2 linked regions of the Daphnia pulex genome follow. The main gene of each other region encodes a partner of the protein of the gene in region 2 in a complex. Links are inferred from orthologs where the notes say so. Each region holds a gene or a part of one and is shown on either strand. Other genes may lie near its edges.

What was found.
Region 1: eukaryotic initiation factor 4A-III (region 2) and protein mago nashi homolog share a complex: the UniProt entries of both Drosophila melanogaster proteins name them as parts of the mRNA splicing-dependent exon junction complex. The link is inferred for Daphnia pulex from reciprocal best matches to the Drosophila melanogaster genes CG7483 and mago.

Annotation. Positions count from the first base shown.
Region 1 is NC_060025.1:2,831,863-2,839,752, forward strand, and holds protein mago nashi homolog, read right to left. Parts: upstream 3,143-7,890; 5' UTR 3,046-3,142; coding exon 2,955-3,045; intron 2,879-2,954; coding exon 2,820-2,878; intron 2,762-2,819; coding exon 2,568-2,761; intron 2,509-2,567; coding exon 2,409-2,508; 3' UTR 2,301-2,408; downstream 1-2,300. Other genes in the region: eukaryotic initiation factor 4A-I-like, read right to left, coding at 1-23, 86-217, 279-388, 458-614, 677-943, 1,008-1,143, 1,496-1,518; uncharacterized protein MCAP_0864-like, read left to right, coding at 3,672-5,036. UniProt on the Drosophila melanogaster protein: Core component of the splicing-dependent multiprotein exon junction complex (EJC) deposited at splice junctions on mRNAs. Involved in exon definition of genes containing long introns, including the rolled/MAPK gene.
Region 2 is NC_060018.1:3,383,880-3,392,784, forward strand, and holds eukaryotic initiation factor 4A-III, read right to left. Parts: upstream 2,923-8,905; 5' UTR 2,793-2,922; coding exon 2,645-2,792; intron 2,538-2,644; coding exon 2,335-2,537; intron 2,280-2,334; coding exon 2,147-2,279; intron 2,083-2,146; coding exon 1,949-2,082; intron 1,894-1,948; coding exon 1,805-1,893; intron 1,748-1,804; coding exon 1,609-1,747; intron 1,546-1,608; coding exon 1,430-1,545; intron 1,367-1,429; coding exon 1,131-1,366; intron 1,065-1,130; coding exon 1,048-1,064; 3' UTR 923-1,047; downstream 1-922. Other genes in the region: ATP synthase mitochondrial F1 complex assembly factor 2-like, read right to left, coding at 64-263, 372-543; 39S ribosomal protein L35, mitochondrial-like, read left to right, coding at 3,180-3,403, 3,459-3,566, 3,618-3,846; uncharacterized protein LOC124188409, read right to left, coding at 4,057-4,685, 4,760-5,372, 5,441-5,672, 5,742-5,946, 6,013-6,159, 6,222-6,324, 6,387-6,604, 6,671-6,926. UniProt on the Drosophila melanogaster protein: ATP-dependent RNA helicase. Core component of the splicing-dependent multiprotein exon junction complex (EJC) deposited at splice junctions on mRNAs. Involved in exon definition of genes containing long introns, including the rolled/MAPK gene.

The sequences.
Region 1 (7,890 bases), on a different chromosome or scaffold from region 2:
AACTTCCACTCTTCGCGTTCAACCTAATCAACACTCGGTGTCACTTTGAGCTCATGAAAAATAAAAAAGACTGTAATCTCATTACCTGGACGTAGAACTGCTTGATACCTTCAAGCGTCAGTTCCTCCTTCTTGACGAGAATTCGGATGGGGTTACGCATGAAGTGATTCGTTACTTCCATGACATCAGCCGGCATCGTGGCCGAAAGCAGAATGACCTATGATAAATTAGTCGAAATTGATACTCTATACGTATTTTAACTCGCCATTTTCACTCACCTGCACTTCAGCGGGCAAATTCTTGAAAACATCATAAATCTGATCCTTGAAACCACGAGACAACATTTCATCGGCTTCATCCAACACGAAGACTTTGATGCAATTCGTCTCTGAATATTTGTGAAAAGAATTTCAATGAACGAATGCACACAATGAAGAAGATGGTATCATGGACTTACTCAATGCTCGTCGGTTGATCATGTCGAAGACACGACCTGGAGTTCCAACGACGACGTGGACACCTTGTGACAGTTTGCGAAGATCTTCACGAACATTGGTTCCACCAATGCAAGCGTGGCATTGCGCATCCATGTAGTCACCAAGGGCCAAAACGACCTAAGTTGTTGAAATCTGTTTAAAATCCAAGTTCACTCAACCCATAACCACTTGACTCATACTTTCTGAATCTGCTGGGCCAACTCGCGAGTGGGAGCCAACACGAGCGCCTGACATTCATTGGCATCGATGTCAATCTGCTGCAACAACGAGATGGCGAAAGTCGCCGTCTTGCCGGTACCAGACTGGGCTTGAGCAATAACATCATGACCCATAATACAGGGCAAGATGGCACGCTGCTGAATGGCAGAGGGACGCTCAAAACCATAAGCATAGATACCACGCAGCAGCTTCTCCTTCAACTTCATCTCATCGAAGTTGTCCACAATCTGTAAAAAAAAGTAATGTTTCATGTTACGATGCTACTTGAGATTCTGGTGTCCTTGAACTCACTTTATCCCAGTTGGACTCAATGACACCGTCAGGGTCCATGCCTGGTGGGCCATCATAGTTTCCACGGTCCTCAGCCTCTCCTTCAGGACGTTCTTCAGTCCCATTCTTGGGAGCCTTCCCGCTCCAATTCTCTTCCCTGAAACAGACATTTCAGAATGAGTTAACTTGCATATGTGGAAGACCATAGAATGTTAAATGAAACCACATGATTACAACTATCACAATGAATATTACTACAGGACACAATAAAATAACTCCATATTAATTCAGTTAAAGCATTTAGCAAAAAATGAATCAACCCCACGCCGCCATGATGTACCAGCCGGGGCACTCGTGACAAAATCCCAAATTTTAACGTTTAACTCTCAAGGAATGACTGATCTAATAAATTCCAGAGTAACAGCACTAATTAAAGCGACTAAGGACGTATCTTTGGAAACTTAAACGACACGAAAAAGACAAATAAACCACGAAATCGGCAGCAGTACCTGTTATCGTTCGAGTATGACATGTTTCAACAGACAGCCAAAAAAACGTAAAGGCAGAACGATCCGCAAAACGGAAGCAAAGGAATGGAAACCTAGGGTAGGCAATTTCTTTTGCAACACACCTACCCTAAACACACATTGCTCAGGTTGAACTTGACAAGTTTATTTTACTTAACTTTTTTTTAAAGAAAGTGAATTAAACTTGGTTCCATTACTAAATGATTTGGAAATCATAAAATTTAAAATTTAAGGTCAAATTGTATCTATTTCAGTTAGTTGTTAACATTTTCAGTGTAGGCAGGGGAGAGAGCTTAGGACATTTAAATAGCGTGGGATGTGATGTGTCATTGACATTGACTCATTTCATTTAACGGTTCGGAAAATATTTGAGGAAATAATTCAGTTGAAAGTATTGCAAAATATGTTGGAAAAAAGTAGGCCAGTTAGTTTTATTTACGCATTTACAAGAAATGCCATAAGCCAGTATCGCCAGGTCTCGTGCATTTGTTGCGTAAAATCGATCTTTCCTATTCGCAAGGACGTTTAACCGGTTTTTTAATCATATTCATTCTACATTCTAGCGAGGTCCCGTAATGTAGATATCTCGAACAAGATAGCTCATGAAAAATCTATAAACAACGGCTTTCATCCTCCAGGGTTTCTATTGATAACATTACACACCCAAATTAACACCCTTCTGTTGTCAAAAATCAGTATCCTTCACTTTTCATTTTTGTCTGATTATAAAAAGAATATATGTTCATGAATACACTACACTTTGTCATGTTTGAGTACTAAAACAAAATTCTTCAAGAAATCCTTTTTTATTACTTGGACAAAAAAAAATCATACACCATATGGGATAGTTAGATGGAAAATTGACATTTGACAATACACATCACAGTCAAAATCTTTAAATGGGTTTGATCTTGAAGTGGAGACCAATGAGAGAGAACACGAGACACTTCAAATCCTGGACCAGATAGTAAAATGCACGTAATCCATCAGCATCTCTGTAAAATATTAAGGGAAATTAAACTAATTTACTGGTTTCAAAATAATATAGATTTACTTTGATTGATTGACATCTACAAGGGAGCCAATCTTTGATGTTGAGAATGAAATGTGTTCATCTCCCATGACAATTTCAAGCTCTTGTCTTCCAACACGATCAGGAGTTGGCCACAGGGAATCATCTTCTTGAAGAATTTCAGAGTCTTCGATAACTCGTTTCAACTCATTCAAAACACTTTGATGAACATATGCCTAAAGAAAGAAATCAAATGTTGCAGATCTTGATAAACATATATCTTGTTGAAATTACCTCTTTTCTGATCATGGTGTCATTTTTATAATTGGAATTATTGGCGTATCTCAGTTTGCCTAAAAAGAAATTAGGACGACCCGGTATTTAGTGAAAGGTGCAAATGTGACATCAAATAACATGATATTTAGTTACCATCAGGCCTAAATTCAAACTCGAGAAACTCGTGGCCGAATTTTCCCTTGTGCCCAACATAATATCGTAAATAAAACTCGCTTTTCGGCATTTTGTGTAATAAATTACGATTTGTAAATTTCAGTGAAACAACCCACGCTACTCGCTTGTGTTCTACTGCTGGTTACCCCCTCTCCAAAACAAGCCGAAACATTCATCCCTAAACACATTTTACAATGTCGTTCGCTTTGCAGTGTAAAAAACCATGGTGGTTTAAACCGGGTTTTAACTCAAATTTAATAAATATACTTGGTAATTTGACGATTTGACTAATTTACCGAATAAATTTCATCGACGAATTCAAGTTTAGACAAGTTATTTAGTTTGCAAATTTACCGCCCAGGCGCTCTGTCGCATTTTCAAACCAGGCAAACCGTAATCTCGACTTTTCTCGAGCACAATGCTGAGTTTTAAAATGGAAAAAAAGAGTTGATAGTTATTTTCAATCAACTTCACACTAATTGAATAACATGCGCAAATTTATAAACTATGATTTAAGTTCAGTACGAATGTTAAAAAGAAAAAACCTAATAAGAGGTGAAAGAAAAAGAAGGAAAAAACAGCCCTGCATAAGTAATGATTCCCATGGCAGGTTATATAAAGCCCAAGTCAACGCCAACAGATAATAAGACTGCTTAGTAGTTTTGGTTTACAAAAGTTTTCAGCAGATATTTCGAGATGGGTCTTTTATTGGAAATCGTTGTGATTTGGGTTTGGGTGAAATATTTTACCGAAAAATCTTCTCCTAGTACCAAAAATCAGCATTCATCAGCTGAATACCCAAACAGCGTCGATGTTGAACCGGAAGTTTGTCAAGACACCAGACAGCGGCTCACAGTGGATTCGGAAATGCTAACAACAACCAGCATTCCCGATGAGCAATTCCAAACAGAGGAGAATGGCAAGTTGAAAAGAGACAATGAACGTTTGGCAAATCAAGTTATCCAACTGAAACTTGAACTTTCCACGTTGAGCTCAGAACATGACGAGGTACGTGACGAGCTAATTTCTACCAGGTGTGAACTGTATGCCAAAAATCGAGACATCACCAACTTCGAGAAAACCATCTCGCACCTGAAGAACAACCAATCAGCACTGAATGTCGACGACGTTGATGATTTTAATCCTGCCAACACCAAGTCCGCACTAGCACAGAACAACGTGATACTAGTCCCGGAACAGGAGGATAAGTCGACTCAAACCGTGGATGTGCAACTTCCTACGACGGTCGTTGATAACAGGATTGAGGAACTTGAAGATCAGTACAAAAAGATATGCGCTCATAATACATCTATGCAACGAAAGATGAGAGGGTTCCACGCTGCCCGTAATATTCTTCAAAGCGCAAACGAAAAGCTTGTCCTCCAACTAGACAGCAAAGCAAAAGAACTTGAGGAAGAAAAAGCCTTGTCAAAGAAGAAAATCCAGGAGTTAGAAAGCGACCACCAGGAAAGCGTCGGAAAAATTCGACAATACTACCAAACTTTGCTTAACAACAGAAACTGCAAAAACAATGAACTTGAAGAAATTATCTCAGAGTTGTACTCTATAATTGATGAATGCGAAGAAAACCACCGCACTGAGATGGAAGAAATGGATACGAGGTATTCAAAAGTAATCGATGAACAAAACGAACACTTGATGCAGCTGGAGTCTAGGGTTGCCGAGTTGACACAGAAAAACTGCGAATTGAACGACACTGTGGACGAACTAGAGCTCAGCTCTTACGCGCTACCAGATTACTACAAGATTCTGAACGTGAAAAGGACAGACACCGACGAAAAAATCATGAAGTCCTACAAAGAGAAAATTCTACAAGCCCATCCGGACAAGGTCAATCAGATACAAACAGATGATGTTGAAAAAGCGTTGATGAAGGCAAACCGACTAAGCCAGGCACTTAATCGTGCAAAGGACTTATTAATAGAACCGAGACTTCGGTACCAATACGACAGCTGGTTAGACATGACGGAGATCAAGAAAACAGAGAAGAAAATGTGGGATTATAAAGCGTTTGAAGAACGGAAACGTTACAGGAATTAAAGCCGCCCTTATGTTTAATCTTCGATTTTCTTTGGATGAGTTGCAGTTGATTTGGTTTTTGTTTTTTTGTGTTTTTTTACCGAAGTTAAGTAATGTTAGAAGCTGAATGTCAGTCTTGCGATTGATATTTGTTGATTTGTGATGACGCTCCCTCCTCGTAACAATCCGGAAGGGAATGGTGGGTGAACCTGTCAATGGAGTTGGTGTGTCGCTGTTGTGCGTGGGGACTTCTGAATATACTTTGAACTGCACAAGATGATTTGTCATTGGGAAGTACGAAAGTGCTTACACAATACAACTCCTCTAACAGTCAGAGAAGTAGGTTGTCCTCACCCTACATGTCAGTGTAACATTTGACTACCTTGACAGGGGGTTTAATTACCCTTAAATGAGTCCACCAATTCTTTACGGTAAGTTACGATGGAGACAGCCGAGCAAGTTGACCATTATCGATTGTAGGGCTGGTTCAGTTTCTTTCATTATTAGCTTCGGTTTTTTAATTTTTTTTTCATTCGTTCTTTTTCTCAATAAATCGGGTTCTGTCCCATATATAATCTCAATCGTGTTGTTTGACCTTTTCTTATTCCTCATCATTTATGGTAGTATGTACTTAAATTCGATGGTATGTGCTATTCATAATTTTCTGGGGGGTTTAATATTACCCTTTTTAAATGAGTCTATCACACTTCTTGACCTGTTCTTGACGTGCGTTTACGGTGGAGATGGCTGGCTGTGCAGCTTGGCAGCAGAAGTTGTCAGTTACTTCTCTTGTTTCCTCATCAAGCTTCTGGACACGGGGATTGTACAACTATACAAACACCGCCCATTACCAGTTTGACTGAAGAAGGCTATAGATTTTAAAAAAAGGATATTTCAACGATTTCAATCTGCCATTTTTGATTACATCCTCACTTAAGTTCCTCCCTTGATTTTAAAATTTTTGGTAAACAGTGGCAGATTTAAGGTGTTGCCATATTTTTAAAAATTAACCTGAGAGTCCCAAAGTTAATTTATCACGATATTTCTCTTATGCATAATGACTTGGTCGTGAACGCGGTCTGACCGATGACTTAAGAGACGCGCCATCTAATGTCGCCCACCCTTCCAAAACTAAAGCTGACGGTTAACATTCACACTAGGTACAATGGTACATTTGTGTTTACTTAAACAAAGGCTCCCTGACTTGCGCAAATCTTCTATCTTTGTTTTTATTTATTTTGAAAGAAATTTGAGTGGCGATCATCTTCCCTGTCTCATTGTCACATAAATTATATTTTTAATTTTTTTAAAATAAAATATTGTGAGGACAGCGCCATTTTATCGAATGGTGGAAGGGACAGTTTCGTCTAGGACATATGTAGAATCACTATCGGGAAATTGATTCACCAAAGAGGTGACGTCTTTTATTTGCGGAAAGAAATCCGGTCCAACGAACATTATATTATTTGTACAAGATTCCATTTCTGTATTTCAAAATCTTGAACCGTGATCTTAGCCGGGTTCTGATGCGTAAAACACGGTAAAAAGTTTTCATATGAGAAAAAGATAAAGAAAGGTTAAATTTCGTCACTTCACAAAGATATTATAGATATTCGGTTATACCGGTTCGATGTCAAATCGAAACATTGGTCAACAGCAGCTACTGCGAAACAAATGTTCTTTCACCTTTAGCATACTATATACACACGTTTATCTAATGTCACGAAATAGATTTGTCTACCTGTCTTGCTCAAAACGGTCGGTAACATCATACGGGTCTGTCTCACTAACAAAGTAATCACTATAGTATACCTCAATCGGAACAAATACATAACGATGAATGAATTGAGCAAGCTCATAATTATCGCCTTGAAACACTTTGCGTGATTCCACCCCCTTTGTGTGTAATACGATTTCCCGCAAAGAAAATCATATAATCTATTCAAACTGATAATGAGATTTGGCTGCACCTGCGTGCACCCATCAGGAGAAAGCCCGAAAACTCATTGCTCAAAATTCATTCATAATATACTACTCATCCGCAATAGTTATTGATCCGGAACTGGTCAATAATTCAAAGGTCTTGCGCGGGGGACAAATAGCAAAGTCCGTATTATTTCGCAACATATGTTTTCCGATCAATGTGTGTCGATTCAGCCGATCTAAGCGTTTTTTTTTTATTTATTATAATTTTTCCATATCGTGTGACGTAAGCAAAGGTTTTCAAAACCGAGTCCAAAGTTGGACCGCTAGACGTCCTCCTAGTTATCCTTGTGTACGTACTTCATGGCCAAAGGCTTTAGTGAAGATTTCAAAGTGTCGATGATTTATTATAAAAGGCGGCAGATATCGTAAAAGTGTTTCACTCTTGAACCCACACGAAGCTACAGGCGATTAAAAGATTTGGAATCTGTTTGAAAAAAGAAAGGGATAAACAAAAAAATTGTTTTTCAAAAGGGAAAAATCTTCATTTCAATGTGACTTGGCAGTTTTACGGGGCAGGATTTGATGACTTGATGTACACATCTACCGTTATATTACGGTGTTTGAAGAAGAAGTAAATAATACTATATCCTCTCTCGTCATTTAAACCATTCGAAACTTAATCTGGAGAGAGTGTCAATCAAAATGAAATCAATTCTCTCTTGAGCTCTTAAGATTGCGTAGATTTATTCTTGTGTGTGACTCATATATCAAGACATGGACGACATTTATAGGCCGGAATTAAACGCGAATCAATCCATCTTTTATCGCCAGTAATCTCGATGACTCAAATTCTTTATTTTTTCCCTAATGAAAGTCGATGATAAAATCTGGCGTTGCTAGCGCATTAATGAACATAAAAGACCCCCTCTTTTTCTTATAAAATAATAAA
Region 2 (8,905 bases):
TATTTGAAAGAAAACTTGTAAGCAAGATTGGTAAGCAATAAGAAAACTTTTACCATAACTCACAAGATGCATTGACGATACTAAAATTTTTTCTTCCTGGGCATCCCATTCATTAGCAACAGCTAGAGCTAATGGTTCACTGGAAACACGAAATACACTACCTGCAGGAGTTTTAAGTTTTCTATTGTCAAGAATGATTTCAAAATCTTTATTTGATTGGACAGTGCTGACTTTTTTGTAAAATCTTTTGCGAGTTTGAGAACCTGGAATAAAAAACATAGAACATTGTAATGTGCTGGAAAAAGAAGCAAATGTGTCTAAAAAAATAAATAATCATCGTAATTTGATTAACGAGGTGTAAAATGAAATACCCAAAGATGATTGATCTCCTGACGACAATTGAATGGATCGACTAGTAACACCGTTTCCAGCTCCTATTTGATTATTACCAAGTATTCTCAATAAATTAGAAGTGCCGGAGCCAAAACGTATTAAATTATTAGTTGAAAAAGACATTGTTGACGAGGTGACAAATGATTTCATCACCCACCAACAAGCAACAACCGGGTGCTTCGAACTGTAGCAGACCAAAACTGTTTTCAAACAGAAAAAAGGAAATGTGGGGTACTGGGTTTCAGCAACCAAGTTTTCAGCTAGTTTCTAGCTTTTGTTCAGCTACTAGAGATACAACAAATCTAACTTTGTAATTGGAATTTGGAACGTCCTTCAAATACTGGTTTCGAATTGTCGCAAGTATTTTCAAAGTGAGTAAAAAAAATCAACATGCCTTATTATAAATACTGTGTCATAACTCATAAGTCAATAAGTCATAACTCATGAGCAAAAGGTTCATATATTACTTCAGATCTACGAGTAAAGTAGACGTCATTTTTAGACTCCAACAATGGAACAAGACAATTAATTAAACGGCCACAAGTTTCATATATTTAGTCCAAATCTTCGGGGATACAGAAAAAAAAAATCCAGCAAAATAAAAACATGACGCATCAACTTCTTTGTTTTCCTTTTTCCGAAATGGATTATAGATTAAATGAGGTCAGCCACTGAAATTGATTAAAAACAAACACATTTAGAAAGAGTTAAAAAAAAACATGCTAAAAATATTTTACCATTCATGGGCATTTCGTCAACCTGTGTAGCATAGTACTGTTCGATATCGCGGAGAATACGGATATCGTCATTCTTGACAAAGTTAATTGCAACACCTTTACGTCCGAATCGGCCAGAACGACCGATACGATGGATGTACAACTCACGGTTGTTAGGGAGATCGTAGTTAATGACCAACGAAACTTGTTGAACATCAATACCACGAGCCCAAACGTCAGTTGTAATAAGAACTCGGCTAGAATAAACGAATAATTGTTATTACTCTGAATGGTTATATGGTAGACGAAAATTTCAATACCTCTGACCATTACGGAATTCTTTCATAATAGTATCACGCTCTTTTTGAGGCATGTCTCCGTGCATTGAAGAAACGGTAAAATTCGCTTCACGCATTTTCTCCGTCAACCAGTCAACCTAAAATCAATCTAACTGTGTTACATCGAAATCAACAATAGAAGAGATTTAATCGTGACTAACCTTGCGTTTAGTATTACAAAAAATAACCGCCTGCGTGATTGTCAGTGTGTCGTACAGATCGCACAACGTGTCAAACTTCCATTCTTCTCTTTCGACAGCGACAAAGAACTGTTTGATTCCTTCGAGTGTCAACTCATCACTAAACCACATAAAATAATTAGTAATAAAAAACAAGCAGACTTTTAACAACGTTTACCGTTTGACTAAAATGCGAATGGGATCTGTCATGAATTTGCTGGTCATCTCCAAGATTTCATGAGGCAATGTGGCTGAAAGAAGAACCACCTTGAATAAAAGATTGATTTAATTGGTTTTTCTTATGAAATATCATAAAACATACTTGGGTTGCTGGAGGAAGGTAACGGTAGACATCGTAAATTTGCTCCTTGAACCCTTTATTTAACATTTCATCGGCTTCATCCAGGACCAACATTTTAATTGAACGTGTCCTTAGTGTACGTCGGCGAATCATATCTGTAGAGTTATCAAGACACTTATCATCAATCCAAACTTAACAAACAGAAATAGCAAAATATACCAAATACACGTCCAGGGGTTCCAGAAACAATGTGCTGACCGTAGTCCAATTTTCGAACATCCTCTCCAACATTAGTGCCGCCGATACACGCATGGCATTGAACATTCATGTAATCACCAAGAGCCAGAATAACCTAAACACAAGCTAAATGAAAACACTGTACTACAGAAAGTAATGCCATAACATACTTTCTGAATTTGAACTGCCAACTCTCGAGTGGGGCTTAGAACCAATATTTGAGTTTCTCTTGTTTGAATTTCAAGACTCTGAAGAATTGAAATTGAAAATGTGGCTGTTTTGCCAGTACCGGATTGGGCTTGGGCAATAACGTCTCTCCCCTTGATTACTGGGGCAATTGCTCTCTGCTGAATAGCTGATGGTTTTTCAAATCCTATAGAAACATTTAAAGCCAACCTCAACATTAAAAATCATGTAGGTTAAGGATAATGTGAATAATGGAGCAAGGTCTCAACAAGTGAAAGTCTCATTTGTACGTACCATAAGCGTAAATTCCTCTTAGCAGGTCTTCACGGAGGCCCATGCTGTCAAATGTGGGAATAACATTGACATCTTCACTCGTTTCAAATTCAATATTAGTTAAATCATCCGGCATCTGTTGGACAACACGTCTGCCTTTAGACTCCATTTTTTTAGAAATCAGAAGTGTGAAAAAGCACGATAGTTCGTGAATAATTAGTTTGCGTCCGTTCGGCAAGGGTGAAAGGATGCTATAGAATGAATGTTACAGACGTTAAAATCGCTTCAACATGGAGTCAACTGTGTTGCCAAATTTTCATACTCATGGTTTCAAAGCAAAAATTTACAACTTAAAAGTAATGATTCATGATCCACTAAAATTTGAAACTAATTTAATTTTTAATTTAATAAAAATCAATGAAAGTTGCTAAAAACCTTTTAAAGACCTGGCCTTTGTAATTTGTATATCGATATCGTGCATGAAAAGATTCAATTAAGCAGACGAACGAACACTGAAAATAATTTTCTCCCGATTCAAGAAAAATAAAAATCTAAAATGTTTACTTTGAAAAACGTTATTCAATCGGCTTTTCGATTGGCGAATTATTCACCAATTTCTAAAAATGTCGTTTCAGTCAAAGCAAAAATTTTGCTGCCTAGCACATCAAGGTTTTTTTCGGGTTCGTCAGAATCAACTTTTCGGTGTGTCCAATACCCTTCCATGAATGCTACCCCAAGTATATTATCATCTATTTCCCCATTGCTTCAAAATCTGTCATTGTAAGCAAGAATTTAAATTTTATTAAGCACACAAATTAAGCTTACTTTCTTGCAGAACTACTCCCTCTTTGCAGCAAACCCGATCAGTTACAAAATGGTCACTCAAAAAAGGGAAGCGCAAAACAGTTAAAGCTGTTGTTTCTAGGTTCTATCGTTTAGGATGGTAATATATTTTATTCATTCCTGGTTATTTATATTCATTATGTTTTCTTAGGGGTGCATGGATAAGGCCAATGGTGGGACACAGTAAACGTCACTGGAGCAAAACAGCAAAAAGGAAGATTCGGGGTGAAAAGCATGTATTTTGTAATGCTACCCAGTCAACTCTTCTTGACAAAATGGTAACGAAATACTGGAGAAAGAGACGGTTTTACGTTGATGACATGTACGAGTCGTATCATCAGCGAGAAGAGTATCCATCAAGTGCTGTTAAACCTCATTGAGGTCTATAATTAATACTAGTTCAAATACATTCAAATAATGGAAAAGGAAATTTATTGTATTTATTTCATTCCAATGTTAAAAAATATTGGTTGTACAAATATCTTAACCATATTTAACTTGAACTGAAATGTATTACTGAAGTGTTATCTTTGAGTACATGAACAGAAGAAATTTGAAAAACTGTTACATAATATCAGGGGGTGGGGGATTTAAAAGTCCCATTCCTGAGTCCTTTTAACACTTTTTCGCTGAGATGGAGCGTTCCAGTTTTGAGGGGTTTGATGCTGAGATGGAGCGTTCCAGTTTTGAGGGGTTTGATGCTGAGATGGAGCGTTCCAGTTTTGAGGCGTTTGATGCTGAGATGGAGCGTTCCAGTTTTGAGGGGCTTGATACTGAGATGGAGCGTTCCAGGTTTGAGGGGTTTGAGGGGTTTGGTGTCGAAATGGAGTCGAGGTAAGATTACGCTTAGGCGAAGGAAAACAATTGGGTTTGACTGCGCGTATTGCAGGGGTTGAAGATATGAGAAAGCCAGGTAAAGGTGCAGCCCCGTGTGTCTTTTGCATCGGTTGAAAGGGTGTAGATGAGATGAGGTCATCCTGGAAGTCTAACGCGAACGTGTCATCTGGTAAGAAATTCTGGGAACATGGCCCAGGATTTCTTTCTTCCATCCACTCCTTGTTGAGACCTGCGCCTTGCCCATCGATGTTTCGTGTTTTGTCCTCAGGGCAGTCCATTTCAAGGGCGTCAGGCATTGAAGTATATTTGTGATTAAATATTGCCGGCATATGGAAACTCCCAAAGTTTTCTTCTTCCACTTCTTCTGAAGTTTTCTGTATACCTAAAAATTGTCATCAATTGTATTCACAGTTATTTAAAATTGAATAACGTGATTTAGCTTTATGTAATTATTACTGTCTTTAAGTTTTTCTGCGTCACACTCTTCGGTTTGATCAAATAGATTTTGTGATAACGAGGCGTTCAATTCCTCAATCTGCTCAACAGCTTCGGTCCAATCGCTCAGCTGACTGAAGAAAAGATGCGAAGCTTTTTGCTCACTAGGTCCTATTCTTTTACTTGGGTTCAACTGCTGAGAAAATAAGTCACCGGCAACAGTACACTGCCAGATTTGAATTGTTCCATCACTATCTTTGTCACAAGCAATTCCACTCCGCATTTGCTTAAAACGATTTTGGATTGACCAATCGAGTCCTAGACCTCGTTGCTGGATAGCTCCAAAGGTGTCGAGGACACTCCAACGTATTCTCGGTTCAAATTCAACAGAAACAACCGGCAAATCGTTCATTAAATCTAGACAATTTTCTTGGTTGTTCCAGCTCAGACCGACCATTCCAGATGAAGCAGGGTTCTGAGAGTCGAGGAAAATCCAATCTTTATCAGGGCCGAGTTGAACAGTCGAAATCCAATCGGGAGGGCTTTCAAGTAGGTGTTCCGCCCGATGTAGTAGGCGGCTTCCACATCTTATATCCCAGACTAGAAGTGATTTCCCGGTAGATATTAGATAAACCTGCAAAAAGTGGTTGTAGGTTATTAAATATCCCAACTAAAGTAAAATTAATTATAAATTTCACTTACGTTATCACGAGAGCTTGCTGAACAGCTAACAATTGTTTCGAGTGGAGGCATGTTATAAAACAACCGCATTCCTTGATCATCAATGGAGAAAATAGGCTGTAAATTCTCTGTATTTTTACACCGGACGTCGAGTAAGTCAAGTGTACGACTGGAACTAAAGAGAAGTATCTTATGGTTCACGTACACACAACTGTCGTACTTTTTATACACTGCTCTTTGATATTTTAATAACCTGTAAGCATCAGAATGAATTTTTAAAATAAACAAATTTGTGAACATTGATTAAACGGCTAAACCTTACCCTCTTTCTGAAATCTTAATTTCTTGAGAGCGCAACTCACAAAACTCTCCACAATCAAACTGATTGAATTCGACGTAACGCACAGTAGAAGACGGGTCGGAACACTCTTGCACATTGGTAATGATGGGCAGACTTCCCGTTTCCCTCTGTTCAACCTTCCACAATCGTGTCGTATGAAACTGACGTGTCGCAAATAGAGGATCTTCTTCATACACAGACAATCGATATGATACACATCTATTTAATGCAAATAACACACCAATAGTTGTACCGTTTTGTTGCTGAAAAGATGGATCCCAACAACCACTTTGGCGGGGAACAGCTATTTGGTACACCGTTCCATCATTGAATGGCGTTTTTGTACTCACGGATTCCAAGGGATGATTCTTCATGTCATCTGCCGTCATTCGAGTCAAACCTAAAATGGGCAGATAAATTAAAACTGGCTGCAATAAATACACAACATGATATAATTCTTACACATCTGACAATCAAATGGTTCCATCGCTGAGTGTACTAAATATCTTTCATTTTGCAACCACACAATAGCTAAATTTCCACCTGCATATGTTTCTGTTGGAGGCTAAAATGAAAACAAAATTCGAATGATTAGAACATAATTTGGAGACTATTTAAATTGAATACCTCATCACATCCATATCTGTCCATAATTGTTACTAAATTTCTTTCAGGTTCAGGAATTTCATTTCTCTTGATAAACTTTTTCCAATTATTTTTTAATGTACTTAGATTAATTTCACCTTTGCTGTTTCTTATGAGCAGTCTGCATTCATGTGCAAGAGTTTCTTTGAATAAAAAGTGATTGAGCTCATCCTTTTTGCTTACACTTCGTACAACAGGACCTAATGATGGAATAAAATGTTAATAAAAACAGCTTACGCTAGTTGCCAAACAAGTTCCACATTTACCTCTTCCACATTTTACAGAAGCATTAGGTGGTAGCAATGGTGTAGGCAGTGTAATGTGTTCATCCAAATCCATCAAATCAGGCCAGTTCTCTACTGTATTGTTACGCAAGAGACCATTTTCTAAGAAACTGATTCTTGGACAGGTAATATAGGAATCAAAATTAAACTGATCCTCATTAGTTGCATCACGATCGTGGTAGCCTTTTCTCTCAAATGTACGAGATCTCCATATATTGTGGGGCAATTGGCAATTCATATTTACAGGAAGATACTAAATAAATCTTCTTCAACACGTAGTGAAGGGAAAATCATAAAACTTTTCTTGAAATCAATTGGATCAATTCAGTTATATGAGTAAGTAAAAAATCCATACAACCCAATCAAAAATTTAGTCTACAAATAATCGAACCATGTGCTTTGCTTTCAAGATAGCGATTACGTTTACAGAGTACAGAAAGTACAGACGATTCAAATGATGGATGGAGCAGCAGGATAAACAGTGCAAGTGCAACGATGCCAGTCAAGTAAATTATGACACACAAATTTTAACAAATTAAAAAAAAATAAAAAATGCTGAAGACTGTCGCAGGCTCGCAGCCCCTTATTAAATAAAGTGCATCGGCACCAGCTCACCACCGTTAATATCCTACCGAAATTATTCAATGCAGTTAGCCTGTACGAATATAAATAAATGACAAAGAAATGACGCAGGCCACGCAGTTGCCACAGGATCCATGAAAGTCAGAGGTCCTTGAATACGACCATCGAATACGTCAGACTCAGTCACTCAGCTCACAATGCTAAATCAATAAAGAGGTTGCGGTATAATTTTATGTTGCCAAAGCGAATCTAAAGTAGTGTCATTCTCATTCACTTGATGGCATCGCCAATCCTATCAGATGTTTACCAGATGTTTACCGTAGCCTGTCTGTGACGTTTACGTCCCCTATGGCGCGATCCGGATATGCTCTGTAGCTAATTAAAATCTAAATAATTGTATTTACCAATAACTATAAATTGGTGAGTCCTAGTAATTAATCTATCAAGTTTTCCTTTCCGAGCCCTTAGTAGTGACCACTGTCCCTGAAGTTATTCACGAATGCCGAACTGGGCAATATCTTTTGCTGCACAGCCAGTCCGAACCTTCTTCTAGACGACAAATTGAATCTAGATGTAGTATGTAAATCGTCCGTGTGGAGGTATACTCTTGTGAATGCAGATCGCCACGAAACTAGTGGACGAAGAGCAGCACGAACAACTATTAATACCCCATTGTCCTTTTCAACTTTTTGTTTTTCCTTCTCCCGCACAACTTTCTTCCAGGACAATCACGCAATAAAACGAAATAATGACATTTCAAGACAAAGACATAGCATTTCGAAAACATTTTGGAAACTCAAGCATTTTCTGCAGAGACGGGATCTAGAAGACGGAGCAGCACGAATGATGACCCAATTGCAATCTCGGCCAGGCTTGTTATTTGTGTAGCCTGCACATTGTAACTGGAAAGCTATTCGCTCACAAATTTCTTAACATCTGTAGCCGGTAATTGATTTTGGACAACGCTCATCGTTACATTGCCAAGGTCTTATACCATCCATCCTGGGAACTGTCTAGTCATATAGAAAGAAGAAGAGAGATCGAAAGTAAAGCGGAACCGCCGAGAAAATGGATTTGAAGAAGGCAAATAAATAAAAGAAGAACGCAGCAGCAGCACGAATGAGGCTGTTCCGTTCAAATAAGTCAAGTTTGTTTTCCTCTGTTGTTGGACGACATTTGAAACAGTATATACTCAGAGTATAATTGGGTTGTCGAGTGGCTCAACTGGAGACAGAACCCAGTCTGATATACAGTGCGTGACAAGCCCGAATGGGATCGACGCAATGCAATTGTAAACTCCTTTCACCAGCAGCAACTCGGGTCCTAAGGGTTATGATATCTCGCCAAATCCCGGCGGAGAGCCAGAAGGATTAACCGAAAGGAGGAATGAGAGAGGGGGGAAAAAATAAAATAAAAAATAGTCGAACTGGGAGAATAATAAACACATATAGAGGAACGTATGAGAGAGTATTATTAATACGTAGATTTATGGCGCTGAAAACAGGCCCTCGACAGGAATAACTTGATCGGGCGACCGTCCATCACTTGAAGCCCCGGCCGGACTGCAGAGATTGCCCAGCTCTCTGGCGCGTGGAGACTTGCAAGTCGGAGCCTTTTCGACAAACAGTACATCAT